Linked DNA regions of Rattus norvegicus. The protein of the gene in region 1 interacts with the protein of each later gene in a biochemical or structural test. Links are inferred from orthologs where the notes say so. Each region holds a gene or a part of one and is shown on either strand. Other genes may lie near its edges. The genes, in order: Nppb, Npr1, Npr3 and Npr2.

Region 1 (3,663 bases):
TGTATGACATGTTGGCCAAGAATCTGACTTCATTCTGCCTGTGTCCTGAGAATTTACTGAAACTGATGTGGGGATGGTAGGCTAATTTGTTCCTCAGAGGGAAATTGTGTGAGAAGGGTTAGGGGTTTGAGTGCTTCGTACTGGGACTTCAAGTCTTAAAAATGCAAATTCACATACAAGAAAGCTGCAGCTAAGAATGAAGCTGGGGGTGGTTCTCTGCCCCTTGAAAACAATAGCTTAGGAGAGAGTGTGTCTCCCTTGGGTCAGAACACAGAACCTCACATAAACAGGGGTCCAAGAAGCCCCGAGGCTTGCAGAAGAACCTGACAGCTTTCTCCAAATGTGACTGGTTTGGGGCTCATGACCTTCTAACTATCCCCTTTCTCTATCTCTACCTTAACCCACTGCCACTCCTGGTCACTGCCCTTGACCAACCTGACCCTTGTGAACATAGATTCTGCAGAAGGGATAGTGACATTGGCCACACACCTGGGTGTATACCCCACAGCCTCATTTCCTCAGAGTCTCATTTCTCACCTGAGTGGGAGACTGGGTGTGCGAGGGAGAAGTCACTCATGGCTGATCAGCTGAGAGCTGGGAAGAGGCCCTTCCCACATGTCTGGTGTCTAGGCACCCTTTCTCTTTCACTCGTGGTGTGGGAGGGGACATTGGCACCTGGAGATGCCCCAGAAGGCATTGCTGTGTGACCTTGTCTTTGGGCCAGGATGAAAATTCTATCCTAATCAGCTCTCTTTTGTTAAGGGGCTGGAGTTCCAGAAGTTCCTTGCCATTTACCAGCTTTTAGTCATTTGAATATTGGAGAGTGAGCATCTTTGAGCTGAAATCTTCACAGGGTTTTGAGGGGTGGGGAGTACTGGAAGGTGGGGCAGGGTATCAGAGTGGTTGCGTGAGCCACCTAGCTCCTTCTGGCCTGGAGATCAGTGGAGAAGAGAACTTGAAAGTTTGTGTGAAGGTCACGTGTGGTGATCAGAACCATGGACAGCTACCAGAGTGCCCGGAAGTGGTGCAGCCCGGCCCTACAGCTAGATGCTTGGTAGCCGGGCAGGGCCTGGATTACAGGTTCGAGGACACTCTCCCAGAGAGGCTGGTGATGGTGGGTGCTAACTGGAAGTGTTTTTGATGAGTCACCCCATAAGCCCCACACCCGCCCCAGGCTGGGAAAACTGGGGTTCTCCCTGTCATTTCCAATACGGGTGGGGCACGGTATTAAAGGCCCTCAGGTTTTGCATGATAGAAGGGAGCAGGAAACAAGGACCTGTTAGTGTCCCCCACACACTCCCACCCTAGCCCAGCCCATGCCTATACAAGGCCTGCGGTTTATAGCCTCCACCCACAACGAACACTCCACAGAGGCACAGAGGGGTGAATTCTCAGGTCCTGAGCTCAGCAGGCAGGAATGTGTCTGATAAATCAGAGATAACCCCACCCCTACTCCATGAGAAGGGCTGGCCGGACACCCAGCCCCAGGATAAAAGGCAGAGGCACCGTTGCTGAGAGGCTAGTGCACGCGAGCTGCTTGCGGAGGCGAGACAAGAGAGAGCAGGACACCATCGCAGCTGCCTGGCCCATCACTTCTGCAGCATGGATCTCCAGAAGGTGCTGCCCCAGATGATTCTGCTCCTGCTTTTCCTTAATCTGTCGCCGCTGGGAGGTCACTCCCATCCCCTGGGAAGTCCTAGCCAGTCTCCAGAACAATCCACGATGCAGGTGAGCACCGAGGGTCTGCATAGGGAGATGGAGCCTGCCTGAAGGGTTTTGGGCAGCAGCAATGAAAAGACCTCATGTCCTTTGGGAATTAACCACGCGAGAGTCAGGAAACGGAAAGATTGGGCAGCAGATCCCTTAACCGACAGGCACTGTGGAAGGGTGGGGGAGCCAGGTGTGTATGTGTGTGTGTGTCTGAGGTCTGGGCTTCCCAATTCGTCACAGAAGCTGCTGGAGCTGATAAGAGAAAAGTCAGAGGAAATGGCTCAGAGACAGCTCTCAAAGGACCAAGGCCCTACAAAAGAACTTCTAAAAAGAGTCCTTAGGTCTCAAGACAGCGCCTTCCGGATCCAGGAGAGACTTCGAAATTCCAAGATGGCACATAGTTCAAGCTGCTTTGGGCAGAAGATAGACCGGATTGGCGCAGTCAGTCGTTTGGGCTGTGACGGTGAGCACCTACCTTGCCGCTTCCCTGCAAAGCTGCACGCATCCCGTTCCCCTGCATGCCGCCCTCAGAGGCCCCTTGGTTTGCTCTCAGACATACTTGCACAGCCTGCCTCTACCTTACCGACAGTCTTCAAGACCAAGGCAGTCTGTCAGGAAGTCTCACATGGGTACTTCATTACACCGTCCCAGGTGAGCACCTACCTCCTTCAGAGGTGTCACAGGCTTCCCAGGGAACAGACTGCCTGATGTCTGATCACTCTGAGCATCTCCCCTCCGTCTTCACCAAACTGAATTATCCGAGGCAAAGGGCAGGCCCAGTGAGATAGCTTTTCCCAGAGCCGTTAAACTTCGACATCATCTGGGAACCAAAGATGGGGGTGCGGTGTGGCAGGGGAAGCTCAGCTCCTGCCTCAGTTTCACTCCCCAGTCTGACACTGGTTTCTCCTCCCCACAGGGCTGAGGTTGTTTTAGGAAGACCTCCTGGCTGCAGACTCTGGCTTCTGACTCTGCCTGCGGCTCTTCTTTCCCCAGCTCTGGGACCACCTCTCAAGTGATCCTGTTTATTTATTTGTTTATTTATTTATTTTTATGTTGCTGATTTTCTACAAGACTGTTTCTTATCTTCCAGCACAAACTTGCCACAGTGTAATAAACATAGCCTATTTCTTGCTTTTGGAAAAGGATTTGTGTCCATGAGTTTCAATCCAATCCTCATCTCTTTTACTTTGCTTTTGTTTACTTTGGCTTCAGGCAGGGTCTCTCTATATCATAGACCTGGCTCTCGGGGTAACTCACTCTGTAGACCAGGCTGGCCTCAGACTCACAGAGATCCACCTGCCTCTCCCAACAGAGTGCAGGGATTTAGGGTATGTGCCACCACTGCCCAGCTGAAACGCTGTCCTTCCAATGCCATGTGTCACTTAAGCGCAGCTGAGGGCTAAAGGTCCCCATGATCAGTAAGGTCATGATTGTCACCCGCATTTTTTAAGTGAGGAAACTGAAAATCAGAAAAGCCGGGAATCCTGGGACATGAGGCACAGCTGGCACATCTGCCCTCCCTGGCTTGAGCAGAGGTCTGCACAGTGTCTAGTGGAGTGAGAGGGGAACAAGAGGTAGCTCTTCCTGCGATTTCTCATTTCCCTCCAGTGTGCACTCAAGGTTGTGGATGTCTGATGAAAGCAATGAGGATTTGTTTTAAAGTGAGGTTGAAAGAGTAGCTTAGTTTCCAAGCATCCATGAGTCATCTTCAGACGCTTCCAATGCAGACTCAATGAGTTCCTAGAACAGTTGGTGTGCACAAAGCCCTGGTTAACAAGGCAGGCACAGTACCATCAGCTGGGACAGTCCCTTGTGACTCTGAGAAGAAACTGAGCACCTCCACAGGGAGGAAGGGAAACCAACTCAAAGAGAGGTCCTGTGAATTGCCCAGGGTCATGAAGTTAGTAAGCAGCAGAGCCATGCTCCCACACAGACTCTAACCACTGCCCAAGC
Region 2 (4,055 bases), on another chromosome or scaffold:
TGTCTCGCCTCTCTTCAGCTGCTCAGCCACGGAGCTGAGGGGAGAGGGTAGGTAGAGACCAGAAGGTGAGGTGGGGTGAGGATAGGGCTATATGTTTATATGCGTGTGTGTGTGTGTGTGTGTGTGTATGTGTGTGTGTGTGTGTGTGCGCGCACGCGCACGCTCATAGGCATGCATGTGTGCAGAACTTAGAACTCACTGAGGCAGAATCTGGTAAAGCAAGGCCTCAGCTTTGCGCTTCTCCTCCAGATAAGCTTGTGTTCTCTCCTCTACCAGTTCCTCCAGGTTGTTAGCATACTGCTCCATGCGTGACAGCAGGTTGTCCAGGATGTTGCTGCTGTTCTCCCTGAGGGCCGTGGGGTACAGGGGGGCAGATGAAATGAGATGACTGGTCCTGCCTGGCAGTGCCCACACTCAGGCACTCACCATGCCCGGCCCCACCCTTAGAGACACGGTCTCTCTAAGTAGTTATAGCTGGATCTGTTCACATTATCAGGTATTTTAGGTGAAAGGAACAGCTGGCCTTGAACCCATAGATATCCACCTGCTTCTATGCCCAGCTGGGTACCTTTTTTTTTTTTTTTTTAAGATTTATTTATTTATTTCATGTATGTGAGCACACTGTCGTGGTCTTCAGACACACCAGAAGAGGGCATTCAGATGGTTAGGAGCCACCATGTGGTTGCTGGGAATTGAACTCAGGACCTCTGGAAGAGCAGTCAGTGCTCTTAACCGTTAAGCCATCACTCCAGTCCCCATGCTGGATACTATATTTATTCTTATTGATCACAAATGAGTTTGAAGGAGGTGGAGAGCTGAGGACGATGACAGGCAGCAGAGAAACATGACTGAGAGAACCAGCCAGTGGGCATACTAGAAAAAAGAGACACAAGGACTGGGGTAGGAGCTTTTGAGCAGGACTGAGACTATGGGAAGAAATGGGAAAGGATTGGAGCATCTGGCCCATATAGTCTTATTTATCTTAAGTCTGGGGGTCAGTACAGGGCTGTGGGCAGGAAAGGGTGTGGGATGTCAATGTTGGCAGAGGAAGGAGTAGTGAATGGTGGGAGCTGTTGGGACAACCAAATCATACAGCTGTGCAGACATCTATGAGGCTGTGAAGAGCTGCAGTAGGCTGCCACTGTAGAAAAAAATTTAAGTGTGGGATTTATAGTGCCTGTAGTGGGGAGAGACCACTAACTTGTTGAACTTGCGCAGCGCCAGGCGGATCTGCTGAAAGGGTGGCCGCTCCTGTGGGTCCTCTGCCCAGCACCGCTGCATCAGCTGCCCCAGTTCCTCCAGGTGGCTCTGCAGATCCATGGAGGGTCGGAATGGGGGCTGCTCACCCCGAGTCACACGCTCAATGATCTCTGTGTGGAAGGGGGATGCGCTGAAGAGCAGCAAGCCTAGTTGGGCAACCGGCTGGGACAGGCAGGTGGGGCGAGTCCAGACCAGAGCACAGGGGTGAGCTGGTCACTGGCAGCCATGGCGCAAAGGACAGCGAGTGGCTGACTCCCCACTCCAGAAGGAACAGTAGGGGTGTTTGGAGAGGTTCCTTCTCTGGAGGTGGATTCGTCAAGACCAGCTGGGATATAGGCCATGTGATCCTCACCTTTTGGGCTGAGGTCCAAACCTTCCACATAGAAGACCCCACTTCTTAGGGCAATCTCCTGCAGGATGATACCAAAGCTGTACACATCCCCAGCTTGGGAGCCACGGGCAGGTGGCGAAGCCATTCGCAGGAGCTCAGGTGCCGTCCACAATTTTTCTGTGGATCAGAGGTCAGGAGTCATAGAAGGGATAAGGGATTTTACACTCTAATAGGAAATGCTACAATAAAAGAAAGACATTGGCTAGGACTCCTGTGGACACAGCACAGTGCTGAGAACCAGTGACCACTTAGTCTGACTTCCTTTTTAACCAATGAAGGTTGAGCATGGAGATGGGAGATATACTCAAGTCTTGCAGAGGCTAGATCTCAGTGTCCCTTCTCAGCTGTGCTGGCAGCAGAGATCCTAGGGTCAAGAGTCAGACTCACAGGGCTGGAGAGATGGCTCAGTGGTTAAGAGCACCGACTGCTCTTCCGGAGGTCCTGAGTTCAAATCCCAGCAACCACATGGTGGCTCACAACCATCCATAATGAGATTTGATGCCCTCTTCTGTTGTGTCTGAAGACAGCTACAGTGTACTTATATATAATAAATAAATCTTAAAAAAAAAAAAAAAAGAGTCAGACTCACTGGCAAAGAGGGTGTGCCCTTGCTCTGGCTCCGGGTCTCTGAAGCTCTCAAGACCGTAGTCTGTGATCTTTAACACGAAGCGCCCGTCTACCACACAGTTGGATGACTTGAGGTTCCCATGGGAACAAATGGCCCCATTGTGTAGAAAGAGCATTCCCTGGAACATTTAGGAAGGCAAGAGGGCTTAGACATGAGTATGACTTCCAACCATGCCCATCTCTTGCCTGGCATCCAGTGATCTCCTCTGGACTCACCTTGACAATGTCATTGGTGAGCGAGTACCGAAACATCCAGTCCAGGGTGATACTCTCATTCTCTAGAATGTCCTGCTGGGGCAGCAAGAGTCAGACCCCCCTGGGAGTAGGAGGAGGGTACAAGGGAGCTACTGGTGTAAGCTTGGACACTTGGATTTACTGTAGTGCCATGCCAGCCCCCAACTCCCATTTACAGAGAGGGCCAAGCATGGCCACAAAGAGGGGGCTTATCTGGGCTCATGGTCAATGGGGTAAGAGCCAGGGCTAGAACCTAGGCTTTTTCACTGTCCCACTTCTTCTTGTCCCACTCACCTGTAGGCTTCCACGGGGACAGTACTCTGTGAGGATACAGATGTTGGGGGGGTCGGTACAAGCACCCACAAATCTTGTCAAGTGCTCATTCTGCACATCCCGCATCTGCAGATTGGGGCAGCATCAAGGCCCTGGCAGAGGCTTCAAACCTCACCAAGTCACATGTTTGTTACCATTCTTTCTCAGAATTTGCTCCCTAACCCTTTATTTCCTGTACATGTGAGGACAACCCATCTGGGGCCTGGAGGGCCCAGTGATCTCTCATCTTATGACCGATCTCCTTCCTACCCTCAAGACTCATGGGCCCATCCCAGCTGTATAGATCCCTCCATAATCAGTTGGCTTACTCTCTTGGAGTACCCACCAAGCCCTTCCCAAGCCACCACCTTGCTCCCCTTAATTACATGTTTAAGTTCAAACAGGACTTTTCGTGTCAACTCAATGCGTTTCCGGTTCACACGTTTCACAGCCACAAGGTTGCCCTGAGCAGGAAATGGAGACTTATTACTCAGGAGATGGCCCGAGACCCCAATCTGCTTCTGAAACCCATCCATGACAGCAGTTCTCTACCTGCTTCTAAAAGCCCATCCTTGCCCTGGGACTACCCCTGTTCCCTGGCAGGCTACCATCTCTTATTCTTCAGACCACACTCCACCAGGGGCCCAAGATCAGCAATCTTTCCCCAGACCTACCTTATAGTATGCTGTCTTGGCAAAGACTTGGAACTGGCCCTCGGTGGTTAGCAGGGAGCCATAATTGGAGCCTCGCTACAGAGAGAAACAATAGTCATCTATTGGCCAGCCCAGAGGTCATTCTGCATCCTGGAAGTTCTAGGTTCAGTCACACTGTCCCTTATCTGTGTCACCCTCCAGAGATAGGGTCTTACTCTTTAGCTCAGGCTGCCCTGGAACTTGTAGCAGTGCCCCAGACTCACCCTCCCAGGCTAGGATTGATTGCAGGTGTGAGTCACCAATGCTAGCTCCCACCCTCCTTTATGTATTTACTTAGACTATCTTCCTTCGAGCTTTGAGAGAGCCTTGTTACAGAGGCTGTAACTATAACCCTCATCTAAGACAATGTCAGGGTAAGCAAGTGAAGGCAGAACTGGGGGTAGACCTATTCTTTTGTTTGGTTTTGGTTTTACAAGACGGGGTCCCATTCTGTAGCACAGGCTTGCCTCAGACCTACAGCAATCTTTCCATATTAACCTCCCAAGTCCTGGGTCCAGGTGAGTCACCTCATCTAGAAG
Region 3 (3,153 bases), on another chromosome or scaffold:
TGTAAGCTCAACAGACTTCTCCCCATCTTCAGTCAGAGCAGCGAGGTTAGTATTAGCCACAGCCAAGAAAGAGAACAGCAGAGAAAAAGAGAACCAGTCCTCCCTCACCACAGATTTGTCACACGCCTCCTCCATGCTCTTAAAATATAAGTGAAATTTAATCTTCAAAATGAAAAAATAGACACATTTCTAATACCAAAATATAAGATTAAAATACTTAAAAATAAAATGTTAGTATGAAGTAGGGCTTTTTTTTACATCATAAAAGAAACATTTTAGACTGATTTTTTTATATAAATCCACCTAACTCACTAGTATTTACAGATTTCCAGAGTAGCTTTGATGAGACACTAAAAGAGACAGGGAGGATCCTTTCTTGAGATATGAAGTCAGACCTGAATGTGGACGTTGGACGAAGCCCTCGGCAACCACAAACCTGTTCCCCAACTCCAGAGAGAGGGGCATGCATTCCCAGCCTTGAGATTTCTCTCATTCCTTTGTCCTCTTATTGGGTGTTAAATTCTTTCCAAGAATATTCTACTTGTAAAAATTGTTTTATTCTAGCTACAAAACATTTCATTTTGGAAAAACCACATTTTTATAACCTTGTGTGAAATACCCCCAAAGCAATCAAGATATGGAGACTCCAGACTTTCGAGACATAAATCTACTCCGATGCCCCTCCAACAGCCAGAACACTTAACAGGATTACGTTATATAATTATATCTGTTTGCCATGAGATGAAAGACCAGAAGGCAGATAGTGATTAATAATCATTCCTGAGCTTCTAAAGAAAATTTAAAATGAAATGACTACTGCTTAAAAGAATGAATTCTCCAAGAACACCCTTTCTGTTCCATTGATGTCTGTCCTTCAACTATCTCTTTAAGGAATCTCAAGCAGACAAAGCAAGGGGGGCATTTCTTTTAAGCCACCGAAAAATGTGATCTGATGGAATCTTCCCGCAGCTCTCGATGTTTCCCAATGTTGCTTTCTTCTTGGTGATTTCGCCTCTCAATGGTTATTCTGTATTTCTTCCTGGGTAAAGGCAAAACAAATGTAATAATAAAACCTCACTTGACTATAAAATACTATGGTTCCTCTTACAAAGAGTGCCCTCCAGGGACATCTGGGTTAGGTTTGATAAATGACTAGTGACACAATATGAAACCCTGGTTGGAGATTAAAGTAGTGTGCCCCCAAGGCATCATGTCCTTATTCAGGGAGGAAAATTGGCATGCTTTCTGAAATGCCAGAGGACAAGCCTTCCCCTTCTTCCTAGGAGCCTTATCTATTCTGCCCCAGAATCTCAGCTTGACTCCCAGGATATGACCCCAGATAAAGATCAGACTAAGTGTACTGTGACTAAAGGGACAGGAACTCGATTGTTCCCACAAAGAGCTACATACACTCGGACATACATCTCCATGCAAAAATGAAGAAACATTACAAATAAACCATGACGATTTATAACGACCCATGAATTCAACTACCGAAGATGACAACAGGATGGGCCACTGTCACTGCAGCAAAGGACTGAAATCTTGCACACATGTGTACATTGTAAGTTTATGAGCCTTGACGTTAAGACACAACAACAGCTACGAATGTGACTTCTCCAAATACAGGACACACTGCAGGGATCACAGACCACCGGGAGCTCTTTTCAAGGGAACTTGTTCTAAATCAAAGGAAGCCTGAGAATAGGAAGTTCATTCTTTGTCCAGATCTCCTCCTTGTGATTGTATTTGATAGGTCGAAGGGACTCTCAAAAATAGATCAATGATCCAGGGATCCCAACCACTTTCTAGCAAGTGCCATAGGAATCCAAAACTCACTGCCTGCCAAACCCAAGATGGAGCCAAAGAACCGCTTTAGTAATTTAACCATCATCCTTCTTGTTTAAAAGAAGGGTGTGGGCCAATCACACGGAGCGTTATACAAAGACAGGAGACAAAGGCATAAAGGGGCAGAGTGAATTTTAACTCCATAAACAGTCCCTACCTGAAAAAGTAGAAGGCCATTAGCAAACCAGCACCTAGTAGGGCCCCCACAACAATTCCTGTCACTGCTGATTCTTCTAGGCCACCTGCTTGAAAAGAAACATCAATAATCAGAGCTCATTTTGAGAAATGAGTAAAAGTACTTTTGATTTTTGCTCATCTCCCATTTGAAACTAATTTTCCTCTTTGCGATATATGTATAATATATATTGTAACATATTGTACATGATTTATATATAATATTTATATATTATATGAAATATATAATGTAAAATATGTATGTCTAATGTTCTGAGAAAAGGTTTTCAGAAAATACTAAATAAACGCACTGTGGCGTGAGAGTGAACAGACCAAGGTCAGAACAAGTTCAAAACTGGACCCGGGACAAACACCAGTCAGCCTAGCACTTGGGAAGATGAGGCAGAGGCTCTCAAGTTTGAAGCCAGCCTGAACCACATAGCAAGATCTATGACAGGGAAGGAGAATGGAGGGAACAAAGGGGATGGGAGAAAAGATAGATAAAGAGAATAAAAGATGGAGAAAGAGACAGGCTCAAGATGCACTTGATGAAAGCTGCAAACTGAAGATCTCAGACATAACCATCCTGGTTTTGAGTTTAAAGTCGAAGATGCATGAATGGACAGAGGCGATGGCCTGCACTTGTCTCCCTCAGGTGGGTGACAGTGACACTTCAATGGTGACACTTCAAAAGTCCGGGGGAAATTGCACTGGGTCAGTATTCTGTTTTCAGATGTTCTCTCACCAGAGCCAGAGTTCCATCCCAAATGTCCTATATAGCTTTGTGAAAATGTAAACCTTAAATCCTTCTCAGTAGGATCTCAGTTCCCAAAAAGTCAACAGCTATTTTCCTTTCAGAGTTTAGAATAAGCTTGCAGTGCATGGACTCCTTGGCTCCTCGGGTGACAGCTGGGTAAATTCCCTTTACATGTGGGAAATGTGAGAGTTGGCAGGTTGTAGGGAGTCTACTAGGGTCCCCAAATTGGCAAGAAGGAAAGTGAGATGTGGGATCCAGACCTAGCAATTATATAGTCAACACGCTTTCTCCTTAATTCTTTCTCATAATTATCACATGGATAAAAATTCCCACCATTCAAAGATGGTCCTGAGACATAATGGCCATTCATATAT
Region 4 (4,055 bases), about 100 Mb from region 1:
GTAACTTAGGCTCCAGAAGAGCTGATGGGTTTCTTCTGGCCTCTATAGGCACCCATACATGTGTGTGGGTGGCATACATTTACACAGGAGAGATATAAATAGAAACAATTTTTTTAAAAATTCGAATTCAGAGCTAGGCACGGTAGAGGAGATTTTTAATCCCAGCACTTCAAAGACAGAGGTAGGCAAATCCCTGAGAATTTCAGGGGCAGCCTGGTCTCCACAGTGGTTTCCAGACAGGCCAGTTCTACAGTGAAACTTTATCTCAAACAAAATCCCAGTATTCAAGCAAGGCACCATGACGCACGTCCGTGAGTGTGGGGAAGTAGAATCTTGAGTGCATGGCCAGTCTAGGCTATTTAGCAAGACCTTATCTCAAAACAAACACAACGGCAACAAGAACAAAACAATTCATTTACCCAGGTTACAAACCAAAGCAAAATAAATCCCTAGGATGAAGGGCAACCAAATCCAAAGGCCAGAGAGAAAGCTGCTAGTCCCAGAATCCCACACCAGGTTGGGAGACTTGCCAGCCACACAACAGGGACACCTGCCTCAGCCAGAGGCCATGTAGCAAGAGGGACACACGGAGTAGGAAAACCCAGAACTCACCGGAAAATTAGGAAGCTGGAAACACCAAACATGATGAAAGTGATTCCCGTGCCCAGGGCCACAATTGCCAGAGTGGAAAGTGGAGCTGAGGGAGAAGGAGAGAGAGACAGAGAGACCCTGAGAAAGACTGGAGGGGGCCCAAGGGCAAAGAGACAGGTGCAGGAGGTACAGAGCTTTCCTGAGGGACAGAGAAGAGAGCGGCAGACACAGATAATACACAGCCAGGAGTGGGAATGGGTGTCAGTGAGGAAGGGGCAGAGCGCGGGGGCGGGGTAAGAGGGGGGACTGCTCCCAGTCCCTGCACACACCCACTTTTATCACAGGATGGGTCGTCCAAGTCAAAGGCACAGGGGGGGTTGTCCAAAGGTGGGGCCCCCTTCACCCAGGGAATTGGCCGGCCTGTCCACCAAATCTGCTTCTCAGCTCCTGAGTAATGGGCTGCAGGCTGTGAGGAAGCAGAGCGCTGGGCCCACAGGCCTGCCCCAGCCTTCTCCCTGACACCCCACCGTCCGGAAGGCCCAGCCCAGGAAGCAAGCTCCTGTCCCCCAGAGCCGATGATTCTGTCCCCACTGGATCTTAGGGCCAATCCCTCCTCCCTGTCCTCTCCCCCGTCACCTGAAAGTCGCCAGACTCCAAGTCTCCCATGGCCCACAGGACGAAATCAGTCTCTCTGTCATTGTTCTTGTCCATAACAACCAGTCCAGTTACACCTAAGATAAAAGAGGGTGCCCCTCACTTTTGAGATCTAACCCTGGCCCACTCTCTCCTCCTGTCCTACCATCTCGTTGTCTCAGAGTCTCTCCCCACACTGGTTCTTCGTAAGTGTCCACCCTCACTGACTCTCCCTGCAGCACCCTGGAGTATTTCTTCTGCCCACCGCACTCCTAAGCCTGCTGTCAGTCCCCAGGCCTCCACTCCCTGCCCTTCATTACCATGGTATCTTCGTCCCTGCATCTTCTCCACAATTCGAAGTCCATCTTCCCGGGTGCCCCCTTCCTGTATTGTCTCATTCAGGACTTGGGCATAGAGCAGGATTCCATCATAGAAGCAGCCCGCAATGAGGTTCATCTGAGGACAGCAACTTCAGCAGCGCTCTCCAAATGCCCCCTTCCCGTTCTCTCTTCTACTCCTGCCCTGTCCCAGTGCCTCCCCACTTTCTCAGCTTACCGCCCTCCTCCCACCCCTACCATGCCCTCCCCATCCACCCGGACCCAGGGTTGGTCCAAGGGTCAGTCCCACGGTTGGAAGGGTAAAATCCTGGATGGAAATGACAGCCTGAAATGGGGCTTGCTCCATGATCAAGGACTCCAGGAGAAATCCCTTCCTCACAGCCTGTTGTGACTCTCAGAGATCTACTCACCAGGGATGGGGCCAGCTCCACGCCGAAGTCTTCCCGGGCTCTGATCAGCAGGCGGTTCTGGAACTCCTGATACTCGGGATTCGGGGGCTCTCGGTACGTGATCACCAGGACAGTCTGCACCACAGTACACGGGGAAGAGATCGCATAGGAGAACTGGCTAAAACCACACGCGGGTAACACATGCACGAGGGAGGGGTTCTGGAGCGCGCCAAACTCTGGGGTGCGTATGAAAATGAGTAGTGGCGCCCCTCTATGAAAGACAGGTAGGGCTGGCTCTGGAAACGTGTCCGTAGGATGAAACCAACTCCATCTACAAACTCAGTCCATCGACCTCCCTGCCTCCCTTCCAGCATCAGGCCTCCTGCCAGGCTGTCACTCTCATGGGCACTCCTCTGCCCCACACTTTCAAGGTACCCACCACTATCAAGAACAACCACCACTCTGTGGCCAGGCGTTGGTGACACACGCCCTTGATGCCAGCACTCAGGCGGCAGAGGTGGGCAGATCTGGTGAGTTCCATCCCAGCCAGGGCTACAGTTCCGTCCCAGCAGCATTAAATGCTGATGGTGTCATCCACTAAAAGTTGGCTTTTCCCACAGCGGGTCACCGGTTCAGAGTGACTCTCTCAGTGAATTAGATTTCAAACCCTGAGAGAAATGCTTTGAGAAGGTGATTCCATCTCTGAGAAACATGAATTTAACTTACTGTGCACACAGGAAACATCCACTGTAGACAGCATGCTCACCGAGAGGCACGTGTGTCATGTGAGCCACGTGCCCACACACACTGCACAGACACACAAATGATGGTTTCAGCCACACATGCACTTGACTGACACGAATCACCACATCCCTGTCCCTCATTAAACTGCCTGACTAGCTCCTTTGAGTCTCATATACCCCCTTCCGTAGCTGTAAGGGGTATCCAACCTGGGACCACGCAGCTAAATGAGACTGCTCTGACAGGAAACTGGACTTGCAACTCAGTGTAAGAGATCAATTCAATATCCTTTGTGACATACGACTCTGTGTAAATCAATAGATCAAAATCCGCCATTTCAAGCTGGGTATGCTGGCTCACATCTGTTATCTCAGAACTCAAGAGGCTGAGGCAGAAGTTAGGCTATAAGAACAAGGCCAGCGGGTTGGGGATTTAGCTCAGTGGTAGAGCGCTTGCCTAGGAAGCGCAAGGCCCTGGGTTCGGTCCCCAGCTTGGGGGGGGGGGGAAGAACCAAAAAAAAAAAAAAAAAGAACAAGGCCAGCCTTGTCTACACAGTGAGTTCCAGACCAATCACTGCTCCATAGCAAGACCCCCATCTCAAAATCTGGCCATTTCTACCAGCTTTGCTTCTTCTCAGCACAGAAAGCACATGTGGACCACACAGACATACTCAATATATCACCTGTGATCTATCAATTTGTTCCAGGAAAGAAATCATAAAATCCATTTCTAGCATGCAGTCGTCATATTAAACCGGAGTTTTCTTACTATGGGACTGGCATGCTTGATGGTACCCTTTTAATATTCACACCCAGGCAAGAGAAAGGAAAGGAGAAAAAGAGAAGGGAAGCCCTAGGGGGAGGGAAGACAGGAAGTGCCCCTGGGGTCAGGCTAAAAGGGTTCCTTCACTAACACCTGTTCCAATAGAGATGTATGGTAGTGTTGACAAGTGACATGGTCAAGCCAAGAGTCGAAAAAACATCAGAGTAGCACAATTTGTACTTCAACAAAGACTGATAGTCCGCTTTAACATTTCTAGACACCCTAACTCTGCAGGTTGAAGATTCACCCCTAAGCTGGCAGGAATCACTTTTTTTGCCATGGGTTCCAGAATTCTGGAGGCTGAGGCAGAGAGATTGAGAGTTCAAGGCCAATTTGGGTTACACAGCAGGCCCTATCTTAAAAACAAAAATTTTCATAATCTCTGAATCCCTTTTGTGTGTGTTTGTGGTGTGGTGTGTGTGTGTGTGTGTGTGTGTGTGTGTGTGTGTGTGTGTGTGTGTGTGGTCTGTGATGTGGTGTGTGTGTTTGTACACACCCTCAGGCATTGGAAGTTCCTGGGGCTGGAGTGATGGGAGGTTGT

Evidence for each region.
Region 2: the proteins of Nppb (region 1) and Npr1 form a complex in vitro, tested with the Homo sapiens proteins (2 studies listed by BioGRID). The link is inferred for Rattus norvegicus from reciprocal best matches to the Homo sapiens genes NPPB and NPR1.
Region 3: the proteins of Nppb (region 1) and Npr3 form a complex in vitro, tested with the Homo sapiens proteins (4 studies listed by BioGRID, with this or other methods). The link is inferred for Rattus norvegicus from reciprocal best matches to the Homo sapiens genes NPPB and NPR3.
Region 4: the proteins of Nppb (region 1) and Npr2 form a complex in vitro, tested with the Homo sapiens proteins (3 studies listed by BioGRID). The link is inferred for Rattus norvegicus from reciprocal best matches to the Homo sapiens genes NPPB and NPR2.

The regions. Positions count from the first base shown.
Region 1 is NC_086023.1:163,698,463-163,702,125, forward strand, and holds Nppb (natriuretic peptides B precursor), read left to right. Parts: upstream 1-1,545; 5' UTR 1,546-1,602; coding exon 1,603-1,728; intron 1,729-1,950; coding exon 1,951-2,173; intron 2,174-2,626; coding exon 2,627-2,643; 3' UTR 2,644-2,848; downstream 2,849-3,663.
Region 2 is NC_086020.1:178,236,682-178,240,736, forward strand, and holds part of Npr1 (atrial natriuretic peptide receptor 1 precursor), read right to left. Parts: intron 3,574-4,055; coding exon 3,499-3,573; intron 3,289-3,498; coding exon 3,211-3,288; intron 2,912-3,210; coding exon 2,807-2,911; intron 2,595-2,806; exon of another isoform or gene 2,567-2,594; coding exon 2,495-2,566; intron 2,398-2,494; coding exon 2,241-2,397; intron 1,769-2,240; coding exon 1,613-1,768; intron 1,371-1,612; coding exon 1,202-1,370; intron 347-1,201; coding exon 200-346; intron 35-199; coding exon 1-34. UniProt on the Homo sapiens protein: Receptor for the atrial natriuretic peptide NPPA/ANP and the brain natriuretic peptide NPPB/BNP which are potent vasoactive hormones playing a key role in cardiovascular homeostasis.
Region 3 is NC_086020.1:62,596,837-62,599,989, forward strand, and holds the end of Npr3 (atrial natriuretic peptide receptor 3 precursor), read right to left. Parts: intron 2,094-3,153; coding exon of another isoform or gene 2,091-2,093; coding exon 2,006-2,090; intron 1,040-2,005; coding exon 928-1,039; 3' UTR 832-927; downstream 1-831. UniProt on the Homo sapiens protein: Receptor for the natriuretic peptide hormones, binding with similar affinities atrial natriuretic peptide NPPA/ANP, brain natriuretic peptide NPPB/BNP, and C-type natriuretic peptide NPPC/CNP.
Region 4 is NC_086023.1:62,685,001-62,689,055, reverse strand, and holds part of Npr2 (atrial natriuretic peptide receptor 2 precursor), read right to left. Parts: intron 2,087-4,055; coding exon 1,973-2,086; intron 1,681-1,972; coding exon 1,545-1,680; intron 1,323-1,544; coding exon 1,228-1,322; intron 1,058-1,227; coding exon 925-1,057; exon of another isoform or gene 921-924; intron 698-920; coding exon 613-697; intron 1-612. UniProt on the Homo sapiens protein: Receptor for the C-type natriuretic peptide NPPC/CNP hormone. Has guanylate cyclase activity upon binding of its ligand. May play a role in the regulation of skeletal growth.